2 linked regions of the Oreochromis niloticus genome follow. The protein of the gene in region 1 interacts with the protein of each later gene in a pairwise test. Links are inferred from orthologs where the notes say so. Each region holds a gene or a part of one and is shown on either strand. Other genes may lie near its edges.

What was found. The genes of interacting proteins can lie anywhere in the genome.
Region 2: the proteins of gadd45ga (region 1) and afap1l1a interact in binary tests that used the Homo sapiens proteins (3 or more experiments, as listed by UniProt). The two-hybrid records come from large-scale screens. The link is inferred for Oreochromis niloticus from reciprocal best matches to the Homo sapiens genes GADD45G and AFAP1L1.

Annotation. Positions count from the first base shown.
Region 1 is NC_031977.2:23,400,663-23,407,581, forward strand, and holds gadd45ga (growth arrest and DNA-damage-inducible, gamma a), read left to right. Parts: upstream 1-4,780; 5' UTR 4,781-4,888; coding exon 4,889-4,941; intron 4,942-5,060; coding exon 5,061-5,162; intron 5,163-5,285; coding exon 5,286-5,496; intron 5,497-5,639; coding exon 5,640-5,753; 3' UTR 5,754-6,319; downstream 6,320-6,919. UniProt on the Homo sapiens protein: Involved in the regulation of growth and apoptosis. Mediates activation of stress-responsive MTK1/MEKK4 MAPKKK.
Region 2 is NC_031966.2:30,009,158-30,017,282, reverse strand, and holds the start of afap1l1a (actin filament-associated protein 1-like 1), read right to left. Parts: upstream 3,238-8,125; 5' UTR 3,074-3,237; coding exon 3,043-3,073; intron 1-3,042. UniProt on the Homo sapiens protein: May be involved in podosome and invadosome formation.

The DNA of each region.
Region 1 (6,919 bases):
AGGATGAAGAGTGGACATGGCCTAGAGTCAGAATCCAGTGAAATATCAGTGTCACCTCTTATACTTTTCCTGTAATCTGAGGTCAAAGATTTGAATATATAGAGTACAGTAGAGTAAAATGTGCAAAGTTTACTATCAATTTCTCAAAAACCGTACAGTAAACTTGTCTGTGGATGACAGGGTGAAGAATGGGGGTCACCTAGAGTCAGAATCCAGTGAAATATCTGCGTCACCTCTTACAGTTTCCTGTAATCTGAGGTCAAAGATGGGAATATATATAGTACAGTACAGTAAATAGTGCAAAGTTTACTATCAATTTTCAGGAAAACCGTACAGTAAATTTGTCTGTGGATCACAGGGTGAAGAGTGGAGATGGCCTAGAGTCAGAATCCAGTGAAATATCTGCGTCACCTCTTACAGTTTCCTGTAATCTGAGGTGAAAGATGGGAATATATAGAGTACAGTAGAGTAAAATGTGCAAAGTTTACTATCAATTTTCAGGAAAACCGTACAGTAAATTCGGCTGTGGATCACAGGGTGAAGAGTGGAGATGGCCTAGAGTCAGAATCCAGTGAGATATCAGTGTCACCTCTTATACTTTTCCTGTAATCTGAGGTCAAAGATTTGAATATATAGAGTACAGTAGAGTAAAATGTGCAAAGTTTACTATCAATTTTCTCAAAAACCGTACAGTAAACTTGTCTGTGGATGACAGGGTGAAGAGTGGGGGTCACCTAGAGTCAGAATCCAGTGAAATATCTGCGTCACCTCTTACAGTTTTCCTGTAATCTGAGGTCAAAGATGGGAATATATAGAGTACAGTAGAGTAAAATGTGCAAAGTTTACTATCACTTTTCTCAAAAACCGTACAGTAAACTTGTCTGTGGATGACAGGGTGAAGAGTGGGGGTCACCTAGAGTCAGAATCCAGTGAAATATCTGCGTCACCTCTTACAGTTTTCCTGTAATCTGAGGTCAAAGATGGGAATATATATAGTACAGTACAGTAAATAGTGCAAAGTTTACTATCAATTTTCAGGAAAACCGTACAGTAAATTTGTCTGTGGATCACAGGGTGAAGAGTGGAGATGACCTAGAGTCAGAATCCAGTGAAATATCTGCGTCACCTCTTACAGTTTTCCTGTAATCTGAGGTGAAAGATGGGAATATATAGAGTACAGTAGAGTAAAATGTGCAAAGTTTACTATCAATTTTCAGGAAAACCGTACAGTAAATTCGGCTGTGGATCACAGGGTGAAGAGTGGAGATGGCCTAGAGTCAGAATCCAGTGAGATATCAGTGTCACCTCTTATACTTTTCCTGTAATCTGAGGTCAAAGATTTGAATATATAGAGTACAGTAGAGTAAAATGTGCAAAGTTTACTATCAATTTTCTCAAAAACCGTACAGTAAACTTGTCTGTGGATGACAGGGTGAAGAATGGGGGTCACCTAGAGTCAGAATCCAGTGAAATATCTGCGTCACCTCTTACAGTTTCCTGTAATCTGAGGTCAAAGATGGGAATATATATAGTACAGTACAGTAAATAGTGCAAAGTTTACTATCAATTTTCAGGAAAACCGTACAGTAAATTTGTCTGTGGATCACAGGGTGAAGAGTGGAGATGGCCTAGAGTCAGAATCCAGTGAAATATCTGCGTCACCTCTTACAGTTTTCCTGTAATCTGAGGTGAAAGATGGGAATATATAGAGTACAGTAGAGTAAAATGTGCAAAGTTTACTATCAATTTTCAGGAAAACCGTACAGTAAATTCGGCTGTGGATCACAGGGTGAAGAGTGGAGATGGCCTAGAGTCAGAATCCAGTGAGATATCAGTGTCACCTCTTATACTTTTCCTGTAATCTGAGGTCAAAGATTTGAATATATAGAGTACAGTAGAGTAAAATGTGCAAAGTTTACTATCAATTTTCTCAAAAACCGTACAGTAAACTTGTCTGTGGATGACAGGGTGAAGAGTGGGGGTCACCTAGAGTCAGAATCCAGTGAAATATCTGCGTCACCTCTTACAGTTTTCCTGTAATCTGAGGTCAAAGATGGGAATATATAGAGTACAGTAGAGTAAAATGTGCAAAGTTTACTATCACTTTTCTCAAAAACCGTACAGTAAACTTGTCTGTGGATGACAGGGTGAAGAGTGGGGGTCACCTAGAGTCAGAATCCAGTGAAATATCTGCGTCACCTCTTACAGTTTTCCTGTAATCTGAGGTCAAAGATGGGAATATATATAGTACAGTACAGTAAATAGTGCAAAGTTTACTATCAATTTTCAGGAAAACCGTACAGTAAATTTGTCTGTGGATCACAGGGTGAAGAGTGGAGATGACCTAGAGTCAGAATCCAGTGAAATATCTGCGTCACCTCTTACAGTTTTCCTGTAATCTGAGGTGAAAGATGGGAATATATAGAGTACAGTAGAGTAAAATGTGCAAAGTTTACTATCAATTTTCAGGAAAACCGTACAGTAAATTCGGCTGTGGATCACAGGGTGAAGAGTGGAGATGGCCTAGAGTCAGAATCCAGTGAGATATCAGTGTCACCTCTTATACTTTTCCTGTAATCTGAGGTCAAAGATTTGAATATATAGAGTACAGTAGAGTAAAATGTGCAAAGTTTACTATCAATTTTCTCAAAAACCGTACAGTAAACTTGTCTGTGGATGACAGGGTGAAGAATGGGGGTCACCTAGAGTCAGAATCCAGTGAAATATCTGCGTCACCTCTTACAGTTTTCCTGTAATCTGAGGTCAAAGATGGGAATATATATAGTACAGTACAGTAAATAGTGCAAAGTTTACTATCAATTTTCAGGAAAACCGTACAGTAAATTTGTCTGTGGATCACAGGGTGAAGAGTGGAGATGGCCTAGAGTCAGAATCCAGTGAAATATCTGCGTCACCTCTTACAGTTTTCCTGTAATCTGAGGTGAAAGATGGGAATATATAGAGTACAGTAGAGTAAAATGTGCAAAGTTTACTATCAATTTTCAGGAAAACCGTACAGTAAATTCGGCTGTGGATCACAGGGTGAAGAGTGGAGATGGCCTAGAGTCAGAATCCAGTGAGATATCAGTGTCACCTCTTATACTTTTCCTGTAATCTGAGGTCAAAGATTTGAATATATAGAGTACAGTAGAGTAAAATGTGCAAAGTTTACTATCAATTTTCTCAAAAACCGTACAGTAAACTTGTCTGTGGATGACAGGGTGAAGAATGGGGGTCACCTAGAGTCAGAATCCAGTGAAATATCTGCGTCACCTCTTACAGTTTCCTGTAATCTGAGGTCAAAGATGGGAATATATAGAGTACAGTACAGTAAATAGTGCAAAGTTTACTATCAATTTTCAGGAAAACCGTACAGTAAATTTGTCTGTGGATCACAGGGTGAAGAGTGGAGATGGCCTAGAGTCAGAATCCAGTGAAATATCTGCGTCACCTCTTACAGTTTTCCTGTAATCTGAGGTGAAAGATGGGAATATATAGAGTACAGTAGAGTAATTTGGGTAAAGTTTACTATCACTTTTCAGGAAAACTGTACAGTAAATTTGTCTGTGGATCACAGGGTGAAGAGTGGGGGTCACCCACAGTCAGAATCCAGTGAAATATCTGCGTCACCTCTTACAGTTTTCCTGTAATCTGAGGTCAAAAATGAAGATACTATAAAAGTACAGTACTGTATATTGGTTAAATTTTATTGTTAATTTTCGCTGAATTGTACAGCAATTTTGGCTGTGGATCATGGGGTGAAAAGTGGAGATGAACCAAATTTGGGAGTGGATTGTAAAGTAATATAGTGTCAGGACACAAAAGACTGCGTTTCTTAGCCGGGCTTCATCCGTACCGTAATATACGTAAGAGTAGTGCAACCACATTTTAGGTGCGGCTGGCGGGGCGGCTAGCTTGACTGTGACTTCGTAAGTGAGGGCTCACTTGACCGCAGTGACGCGCCAAGCAGGTGCACCGGGAACCGGTTGTTTATTAAGAGCAATGGAAAGCTGCACAGGGAAAGTTCGGATAGATGATATATATAAATATCTCCCCAGTGACTCTCCAGACTGGGGAAATCCGCTAGTCCGCCAAAGGATTGTTCCAGAGTTTATCACACATCAAATTAATCGTCACTACTGTTTTAATGCGGCTCACCCACAGAAAAAAGATCCGCCAATTTTCCCTCGGCTAATCCGCACACTCAGTTCTGTTGTCACCTGTAGGATAGTCTGAATTCTTCTATGCCCACTGTGGAAAAACACGAGGCGTAATAGTTACATAATTCCAAAAACCGGGGATGTTGCTATCGAATGGTAAATAACGCCTCTGCAAACGATGATAATAATAATAAATAAAAGAGAATCTCTTAGAATGTCTGCGCTGTGACCTATGTGTTTTCTGACTATCATAAACATGTCAGCTTGTCCAGGGGCAAACTGAAGCCACAGTGGTTCAAAACAAAACAAAACAAAACAAAAAAACTTCATATCACCGTGTTGTTTGCAATGACTGTGAAAGTTCATCGTAAACAGGACTTGTAGTTTTTGCCCTTAGTGGTGATGCTGGATGTTGACAAGAAAAGGAGAAATTGGGAGTGGGTGGGGGGGATTTCTTGAAAGGTTGTAATCTTGCCCCACGTGGGGCTGTCAACAAGATCAGTTCGACTGCTCGGGGACTTTTTTTCGCTTTCCTCACCATAAGCTCCTCTGAGCCAATGGTAGGAGACAGGCTCGGAAAGACCGCCCCTTGCCGAGAAACGACGCCAAGTGCGGTATAAAGCCACCCACAGACCGTTCAGAGCTCAGAATAACGCAAGAGACTACACAGACAGCTACACAGCCTTTTCTTAACACTGCAACATCCCGATTGCGCTTGGATTATAACTATGACTCTGGAAGAGATTCACGGACAAGAGAACACAATGGAAAACGCTGATAGGTGAATATTTTACTCATCGATACAACGTTATTTAAGCTCCTGGATTAAAGCGCTGTAGCTGTTATTTTTGGGGAGGGTAATGTGATCAGTGTGCTGATGATGTATTTTTCTTTGTTAAGGGTGCAAAGTGCAGGCGCAGCCCTGGAGGAGCTGCTGATCGCTGCTAAGAAGCAGGACTACCTGACAGTTGGAGTTTACGAATCTGCAAAAGTCATGAATGTGTAAGTATTGCATTTCGTGCCACTTTCAGTTACATTTGCCCTTTAAAAAAAAGAAAAGAAAAAAAAAGTCGAGCACACGCAAAGCAGGATATGCACTAATCACCTTTCTTGTCTTTCCTACAGTGACCCAGACAGCGTGGCGTTCTGCATTCTCGCCACCGACGAGGAATACGAGTGTGACATTGCTCTTCAGATCCACTTCACTCTCATCCAGGCGTTCTGCTTTGACAACGACATCAACGTGGTGCGTGTCAATGATATCGACCGCCTGGCCGACCTCGTGGGTGCAGATGAAACAGGCGAGCCCAAGGACGCACACTGCATTCTTGTCACGGTACGTTCCCACTCAGTCAGGAGCTGGCAGCTAGTGAATCATGCATGCATCACTACGGTGTCTGACTTTTTTTTTTGCATGTCTTGTAGGTGTTGCCACTTTTCTGACTCTAAATATCTCCCTCTTTTTTTTAACAATTACAGAGCCCTAGTGCAAACCCATGGAAAGACCCTGCTCTGGACAAGCTGAGTGTGTTCTGTGAGGAAAGGCGCAGTGTGTATGACTGGGTGCCCACCATCACTCTCCCAGAGCGCTGAAGTGACACCCCCCTGCAGTTGCTTCACATGATTATGATGATGATGATGAAAAGAAAGTCAAGGAGCTGAGCTTCAGCTGGGGGGCCTCATGCCTTTCTGCCTCACATGTCTGGATTAAGAGGCTGTGGCTGTAACTCCCCCCTTCTGCAAGAGCACACTCTTCCAGTGCATCCTGGGTGAGCCCGTTGGTTCTGGATTACCCTGTGCAAGGGTTCAGAGCTCATGTGTGGACTTGTTCAGGTGTATGTGGAGTGGACAGAACGCCTGAAGGACACTGAGAATGGAGCTGGACTGTACTGCATAGTACATTAAAGATGGCAAATGGTGACCCAGTGACTGCCCTTTAACAGACACTGGTGGGACTAAGCAGAGAAGGTCACAGAGAGCGATACTTTGCAAGAGATGGACTTAAGAAAGTGGACTGGACTCGTCAGAGGGGGAACAAGTCAGGTGCAGATCCAGAAGAAGGCGTCTGAAAGTGTCTAAACAAAGGACTTTTCTTTATGAGTGCAGCTGTCAGGAAGTTCTTGGAATAAGCAGAAACTGCTTGCAAATCCTGATGTAAAGCTGACACTTTTTTTAATGGACTATTCAGTTTTCTTTCACATGCAGACAGAGCAATGCAGTATTGATTTGTATTGTACTGACTTGAAATGCTTTGTGAATAAACATTTGGAATCAAACTCATCTTCTCAGAAATCTCATTTTCTCCTTTGCATTTAGCTACACAGACATTAACTAACACCCAGGGTGCCACATAATGTGGGACGTCATGGCAGACTGCAATGATGCAGAGGTATCAGGAAAGTGTGGCGCTACTGGTTACAACTCTGCTTCACAAGAAGCTAATCGCACAATGTGGGTGGAAGGAAAGTAAAGATCAAATGATTGGGTGGCAGAGAGAGAGAGAGAGAGAGAGAGTAAAAGAAGAAAAGCGAAGCTAACAGTTATAACGTAATGATGATTGAAACGTGGGCTTTTTTGCAGGCACTGACCTTTTACTGCTGATAAACCAGCTGCCTTATAGCACAGTGCACAATTACTTAGGCTGGAACTGAAGCCTGTGTGTGTGTGGCTAACTAATACGTCAGTAGACAGTGAAGTTAGTTGTAGTTTAGTATATTCAAACAAAGTTGTTACAAATTAATTTAACATCACTCTTCTCA
Region 2 (8,125 bases), on another chromosome or scaffold:
CAACATTTAAGTGACAGAAAAGTGAGATTTTTGTCCCCATGGCCCTCTAAAAGGACAAACAGATACAGGCAATGGTTCAATATGGAGCATCGGACTCTAACAGGAATAACTTAAGGAGCACTTTAGAGAGCTCAGAACAAGCCAAATGAGGAAGCTAGAACTTCATTCACAAGGACCCGATCTTTATCCAGCAGTTGCGAAACTGAAATGCCGGACTTAGAAAAACACAAGCTGCCTTAAACAGGCTTTCACAGGGCTCTCTGGGTCCTCTGGACTCGAGATTGTAGGAACAGATATATCGCATACATCATAAGTTGATCTGAGAGGTAAGACAGGTCCACTCCCTGTTTTTCAGAACAAAACTCAAATAAACTAGCTCACTCCCCCCAGCTGCTGCAAGCCTGAGAAAAGATTTGCAACCTGCTGCAAGCCAGTGCCACCAAGCAATGCTTTTTGTTTCAGCTACCCGAGGTGTTTCCATTAGCTCGTTTGTAACCACTGACTGTATTCTAGCACCCAGTTTATTACCTCTGTAATCCTAAAATCCACAGTAAAAAACCCCAAAACAAAACAAAACCTAACAAATGGCTGAGTCACTGTTGGCATTCTTGTCTGCCTCCCCCTACTTCCCATTCCCCTCCATCTCTTACTCTCTCCCCTCCCTCCTAGCCAATTTTCACAGTCCAGTCCCCTTGGACCTAGTGAACCGTGCGTCTTACTAGGGTCAGCCGCGGGACAGCCGCTGAGCCAGAAAACTCTTTGTACAGAGTGCGCTCATATGGCAGCAAGACCTGTTGCGCTAAGCACACACACAAACACAGGCAGAGGCAGACACATACACACGTGCACACAAGCCCGAAACGCACAGGCAGGCTCATGTGTTGTGCATTTAGCGAGGTGTGTCAACTCTTAACTTTTGTCTGCTTATCTAGAAAATGCACTCGAACCACCATCGTGTGCAGGCCTAAAAAGCACATTAATAAGTTGAGGCAGAATGTTGGCTGTCTCAATGTATGACCCCAACACAGCGAACTTGCATGTAATCACCTCTGACAAGCAGAAAATAAATAAGCTGGAGAAAATATCTATTGTTTGTCAGTGATGTATGTCCTACATTTCAGGGTGCTCCCACTCCTTAAAGACAGACATACTTTTCTTAGGTGGGTCTTCCTATGGGTTTTAACAATGCCCAGCCAAGGCTATGGTCAAAAGCAACAACAGCTACAGTAGGTGTATTTTTGCCTGTGTCTGTTTAACCACTTTGTCTCCTGCACCAGCCTGGTTTCCTTCCATTGTAACAATCACCCGCTCCCACTCGGAGGAACGGGCATGAGGATTTAACTCATGCTGTGAGCTGGAATGCGTCCTCATTAACATCTGATTCATGCAGAGAAATGAGGAAGTGGAAGGACAGGAAACTCATGAGAGTGGGATGTGTGGGCCTGGTGAACGCTGTCACTCTGCCAGAGGTTCCAGCTGTTTAGATTCTGGCTCTAGCGTAGCACTGGGCTTCCCCTAACCTAAGTGTAAGACAAAACCGTATCCACAGCATGACTCATTCTCTGCAGAGAGAAGTTGAAATTTACACCAGTCAGCACTAAATCAAGTATATTACATATAATACAACAGAGAAATTGAGGCGATGCTTTCAAAGGATTTAGCGTGAAGTAGGTCGCCTCACTCCTTAAAACGGTTTCACAATTTTACTCCTTAAAAATCCGATTACCCAATTTCACGTTTACAGTGCAAGGGCGAGCAAGAAGGAATTACTTCCTCATTTTTGGCACTTGCGGCTCGTGAGACCACCCTTAAGTCGCCCATTGTTCCTTTATAATTAACAACACACCATGCACGAGTGTCGTCACACGTCTAAAGCGGCGAGTCATCTTTTGCATTTATGCTGCAACTGCTCGTGCGTGTGTTTGAGTGCGATGCGTAACCGATGTCTTCTAACTTATTACGCAAAAGCTCCCGTAATGTTACAGTGATAGATGAGAATGTGGTTCAGTATAGTTAAAGCAATGTATGTGTCTCCATAGAAGGTCAAAGGATAACTTTATTCTCAGCTTTGTGTACTTTCAGCTTTAAAAAAAAAATCATAAAGTAGAAGACTTAAAACACCAGAGAAAAAAGATTGTGCAGGTCTGCAAAGTCAGTCAAAGCTTAGAACACACTTGGTTTCCTCACACTTGCTTAACAATTGCTGTTAAACACTGGACACATTCCTCGCCTTGTTCATAGTGCAAGACTCTGCAGTGTGTGTGTGTGTGTGTGTGTGTGTGTGTGTGCAGACCTTTGTTAAGTGGAGAGGGTAATTTGTTTAACACTGCAGACTCCAGCCTTTAAAAGGAGCTTACATTTGTAGACTTTCTGTGCCAACTCTGTAAGGTTGAATGATGGGTGAATAATTTCAGTGAGTCTAGCACCTGTGCTAACATGCCCAACAACGTCGGAATTAAAGAATAATCTGACCTCATTCGATTGCACCATTTTTCTCAGCTCCCGCTCCCTCCAAGTACCAAAGACTTCCCTCATGCTGAACTGACTTCTTTTCTTGCCATGCAACCCCCCCCCCCCCACACACACACACACACGCACGCACACACACACACACACACACACGTAAACAAACTTAATATAACAGTATGTCGAAAGTGACAGGATTCAGACAGTCAGCGGCAGCTTTGTTTCACAACATCACTGTAAGCAGACATTCCAACTTATCCAACAAGAATTTGCAGCCCACAAAGAGTCTTCAGAGGCTTCAGAAATTACAATGTTTCACTAACGACTCTAGCAAACACAGCTTTCTCAACAATTCAACATTTCTGCCTTTCTCTGTATTTCAGTGAGCTGGCATGGCCCTCAAGGCATGAAGTAAACATCACCTGATTCCTACAGTGTTCGGATTGAGGGCACGATGCCTTTAGCACCTTTACATCCCCGCAGCTTACACACCTCTCTTTCCCTCAGCATGCCCAAATCCTGTAGCATCAGATGCTTTAATATACCAACATGTTGTTTTCTTTTCAAAACACTTACCTTCACGGGCAGTGGATGACAGTCCCACCATTCTCTAATTGGCTCATTCATACACAAAAGAGATACTGCAGGAGATACTCCAGAGTCAAAGCCACCCTTTGTGCTCTGTCCTCTGAAGTCTGTAGTGGAGGTGAGCTACCATCTGCTGAATTCGCACTCCCTTTACCTCTCCCCTCCTCCATCGGATCTGTTATCTCCCTGCACCTCCCTCTCCGTCTACCCTCCTCTCGCTTCTTTTTTTTTTGTGTGAGTGGGGGGCAGGGTATAGGGTGGTGCTCTGCGTGTGTGCGCATGTGTTTGATCCCCCTTCTTCCACTGTAATCCTAGGGATCGTATAGCACCTGGGAAAGGCTTGCTGTGTAAACACACACACTAATAGCTAACTCTTCTTCTTTTCATTCTTTATTCTTTTGCATTCTTTCCCTCTCTCTTTATATTATTAACTTTTAACTAGTGGCTACACACTAAACAGGTTCCAGTTTAGCTGCCTGTGGAAATCCCCACGTTATAGGGGCATTTTAACATGTCAAGTAAAAGTTGCAGGATTTAGGATATTCTGTGGAGTAGTCATTAGGGCAAGTTGAGACCTTTTCAGTGTCACACGTGGAGGATTTGCTGCCTTGAGGCAGAATCAGGCAGCCAAACACGATGCAACATGCTGCCTTCAATCACAGCGGCAGTAACGTGGCACAAACAGCCCCGAAGCATACGCAGTTCAATACACAACCACAACCACAATATGACACACTAGCTTTTCTAAGTGTAGGCTTTTACTATAAGAAGCCTCTTGCACAAGACTGGACAAGTATCACTATGATGTCAGAAGACTGGGGTTACAGCATAAGCGTGCAAGAAATAAGATCACCTGTTGTTTGGAATCCTAGTGTGACCCCTCATCACCCCTTTGTGATTCTGTTTGGGGAGCTCATTCACTTTTTTGTTCAGACTTAGATGAGAATGGTTTTAAGATCCATCTGTGCTAATCGAGACTAGTTAACTAGTTATTTAACTCATACAAAAATGTGTGTTTTTTTGTCTTTTGGTAGCTAAATAAAAATATACAGTACTGTGCAAAAGTATTGAGATAACCCTCATTTGGTTATATTTGCTAGGATAATTTGATGTAGGTGCTGCCATTTATCAAAAACACAGGTACCACAGGGCATAGCGTGAATGTGAGTGTGAATGTTTGTCTGTCTCTTTGTGTTAGCCCTGTGATAAACTGGTGTCTGTCCCGGGTGTAGCCTGCCTCTCACCCTAGCACAGCTGGGATAGGCTCAGCCGCAACAGGATAAGCTGAATTGGATAAGCAGATAGAAAATGGAAGAATGGACTCCATTAGACCTGCTGCCTCTGATTTTCAGTGCAGTTCTTGTATAATTTAGCATACCTCAGGCTTTTCTCCAAGTTTTCCTTCCTTAAGAATGATTTTATGACAGCCACCATTCTGAGACTTTTCTGCTGAGGCTCAAGCAAACAGTAGATGGATCAACTGAAGGGCCAGATGCATGTCTCAGAAATGCTAATCAGATACTGTTACTCTGTCGCAGATAGTTTTGAGGCCTGTCATTTCTTTTTTGTCCTCCACCTGTGCAGTTTCCTCAGATTTTTTAAGTACAGACTGCACACCATGCTGACATACAACAGGTTTTCAGCTGATAGTTCATTGGGATTTCTTTTGCATATTAAACTGTACATCTTTGGCATTTTCATAGACTGAACCAAAGGAATTGGAACAAATTACATCTGTTTGCAATTAGCTGCTAGTAACAAAGTGCTTATTTGCTTGTTTTAAGTAAAGACAACAATGGTTCATCACTTGAGTTAGGTGTCTTTTTATGCTTAAATGAGTCATAGGTCAGTGTTAAGTGGTGTTTCAAACAAAAACTACTCCTCTAAAAATGGTCCGGTAAAAGGACTGGATTTCTTGTAAGTTAAATATAAAGAAATGATTAGACTTTTGCACAGGATTGTATTTGTGAAGAAAAGCACCGCACTAATGAGCTCCTTCTAAAATCTATTGATAAAAAAGCCAGACCCTTCCTCACTCGTAAATGGTGCTTCCCAGCTTTTCCCAAAATAGTCTCACATACTCATCCTGTTAAGCCTGATATGGCCTAAAAGAAAACGAGTTCTGATGGTGACTAAATCTGAACTTTGACCTCAACAGTAAATATCTGACCCCATACAGAACTGTGGATGTTAGAGGAGGGATGTGAAAGCACACCGAGTTGTAAAATTCACACGACTTTACAGCTGGGTGCGATGGATCTCAGGTTTTTGAAAAGCTAAAGCCTTCGGGGCAGAAATAGTCACAGTAATTGATAAACAAAACCTAGTGTTTATTACAATGAAAACTACCGGTCAAGTCCGCAGTGCAAAACAAAGGAGAACCATAAAGATGTAAGTCATGCCAGACAAAGCAGTTTGAGAAAAAAAAAAGTGACTCTGTGACTCCACAAAAGATCCGTATGTACTGAAAACTGATGGATTATTCTTGGAAGAGCCCCTTTCCTTATTGTCTTTGGAGATGTTGGATACACAACCATTTCTCCACCCGATCTGACATGAAAGCACACTGCAGGTTCACTGTGTAGGTGTCTTTCTTCCTCGGCTGAACAATACAACCCAGCAAGTTTTGGAGGGAGACGAAAAGCACATTTTTTGTGAGCAAAAGCATAATCTTATCTCATGTTAAGTGAGTCAAATGATAGGGTTTTCAGTACAGAGACAGTGGTGTTTGAGTGTTATCATCATGCCGTGTGAGTGTTACCTAAACACCTCCATCCAACTCAGTCATCAAAGCTGAGGCAGGCATGTTTGAAAAAAAAGAGCTGATTCATAATGTTAAGAAGCACAGATCAGAAAGGAGATACTTTTATCTCACTGTTCACCACAGGATTTATCACACCACTGTATAGTGCTGTATAGATCCGTGTAACAAAGGAAGAGGTAAACCAGACAGCCAGATGTTCTCCCAGTTTTTAATTGCATTAGGAGGTGTGCCAACAATGCCTTCTCTCACCAGGCTGTGCCCTATCATGATGAAATTCCCTCCCACCCTACCCTTCGAATTCCTGGCATTTCCCAAGAGTGACAGCTCCTCTCTCCTCTTGCCAGTAGAAACGTGTCTGGGCATTCGCAAAGTGATATCTCTGGAGAACACACAGGTACACAGGGACAGATCCGGTTCATGGCGCAAATCATCTTGATGGCTGGTACCAATCTTTCTGCTACTTTTTACTGCGTCATTTGTGATGGAGGAAGAGATATACAAGAAATGCTGTTTTATTTAACGTTCATTTAACTTTCACAGTACATAAAGTTGCTATATTTGACATCTCACAGAAATACTGTGTATAAAATGGCTTGCTTGCAGTCACAAATAGAAATATAGCTGCAGGCAGCAATGAGGGGGCCAAGCAATATAGCTGGCACAGTCACCATGGCAACTTGAGCTGACCATGTTAAAAGCACTGGCAGGAAAAATGAGTTGTTGCTTAATGCCCTGAGTGGGAACATTATGGAACTTGACAACCTCAAGAAGAAGTACAAAGTTCATACACCAAGGCTTTATTCAGATATGGAAATGTATTTATTTATTTATGTTTGATTGGAAAAGCTGGTGCATTTCCAGGTGTTCTATCTACGGTACAGTTTTAATACAATAGGGTTCATGTTAGTATCACTGCTGATTGTGAAACAGACATCACCATCAAACAAGAGAGAGCATAGCTTTAGGCCAGTTGCTAAACATGCCATAATGTTGTATGCTATTTCCAGACTGAACGTGACCCATATCTGACCTATATCATGAGCTTTGAAGTTAACTTGCTACAGGGAATATAACAGTACCTCATTAGGTGGTGGTATAAAGGTTACTCTAGCTTCAACTGAGTGATGGTGCTATAGTGCACGAGATGGAGACATGAAACTCGGTGAAACTCAGTGAAGCGCCTGTCCCCAATCAGGGTGCCCCATTCATGCTCTTTAGCAGTAGCTGCTAGGAGCTACAACAGTGTTACTTTTATTTTCTCACTCTGGTTGGCTAAGTTTAGGCAACAAAATGATTTAGTGTGGTTTACCACACAGGCGCACCTGTGCACAGTTTACAAGCACTTTTTCACACATCTTCTTGGGGCCTCTTGCACAAACAACATTCAATGTTATATCATGGGAGAACATAGTAGTCATCCAACTGTGCAGTGTCCTTAAGTTTTGTGGAGCATTTTAGCATGATTTAGTCTGTTGTGTTGGTTTTGAATTAGCAAACAAACTGCATATCATTGGGGGAGCTTTAGTTCTTCTTTTGGCTTCTTCCTATAAGACTGCTATAGCAGATCATCGGTTTCCATCTAACCCTATCCTTGGCATCCGCTTCTCTCACACCAAGCCTCTGAATGTCCCCCTTGATTACTTCCATGAGCGTTTTCTCTTGTCTTCCTTCTTCTTCTAACCAGATTCTTACTCTGGATGGCATTACCTTGGTCTCCAGTAATGCTGTGAGGAACCTTGGAGTCATTTTTGACCAGGACATGTCCTTCAACGCACATATTAAACAAATATGTAAGACTGCTTTCTTCCATTTGCGCAACATCTCTAAAATTAGAAATATCCTGTCTCAGAGTGATGCTGAAAAACTAGTTCATGCATTTATTACTTCCAGGCTGGACTACTGTAATTCACTATTATCAGGATGTCCTAAAAACTCGCTGAAAAGCCTTCAGTTAATCCAAAATGCTGCAGCAAGAGTACTGACAGGGACTAGAAAGAGAGAGCATATTTCTCCTGTTTTGGCTTCCCTTCATTGGCTTCCTGTTAAATCCAGAATTGAATTCAAAATCCTGCTCCTCACATACAAGGTCTTAAATAATCAGGCCCCATCTTATCTTAATGACCTTGTAGTACCATATCACCCTATTAGAGCACTTCGCTCTCACACTGCAGGCTTACTTGTTGTTCCTAGAGTATTTAAAAGTAGAATGGGAGGCAGAGCCTTCAGTTTTCAGGCCCCTCTTCTGTGGAACCAACTTCCAGTTTGGATTCGGGAGACAGACACTATCTCTACTTTCAAGATTAGGCT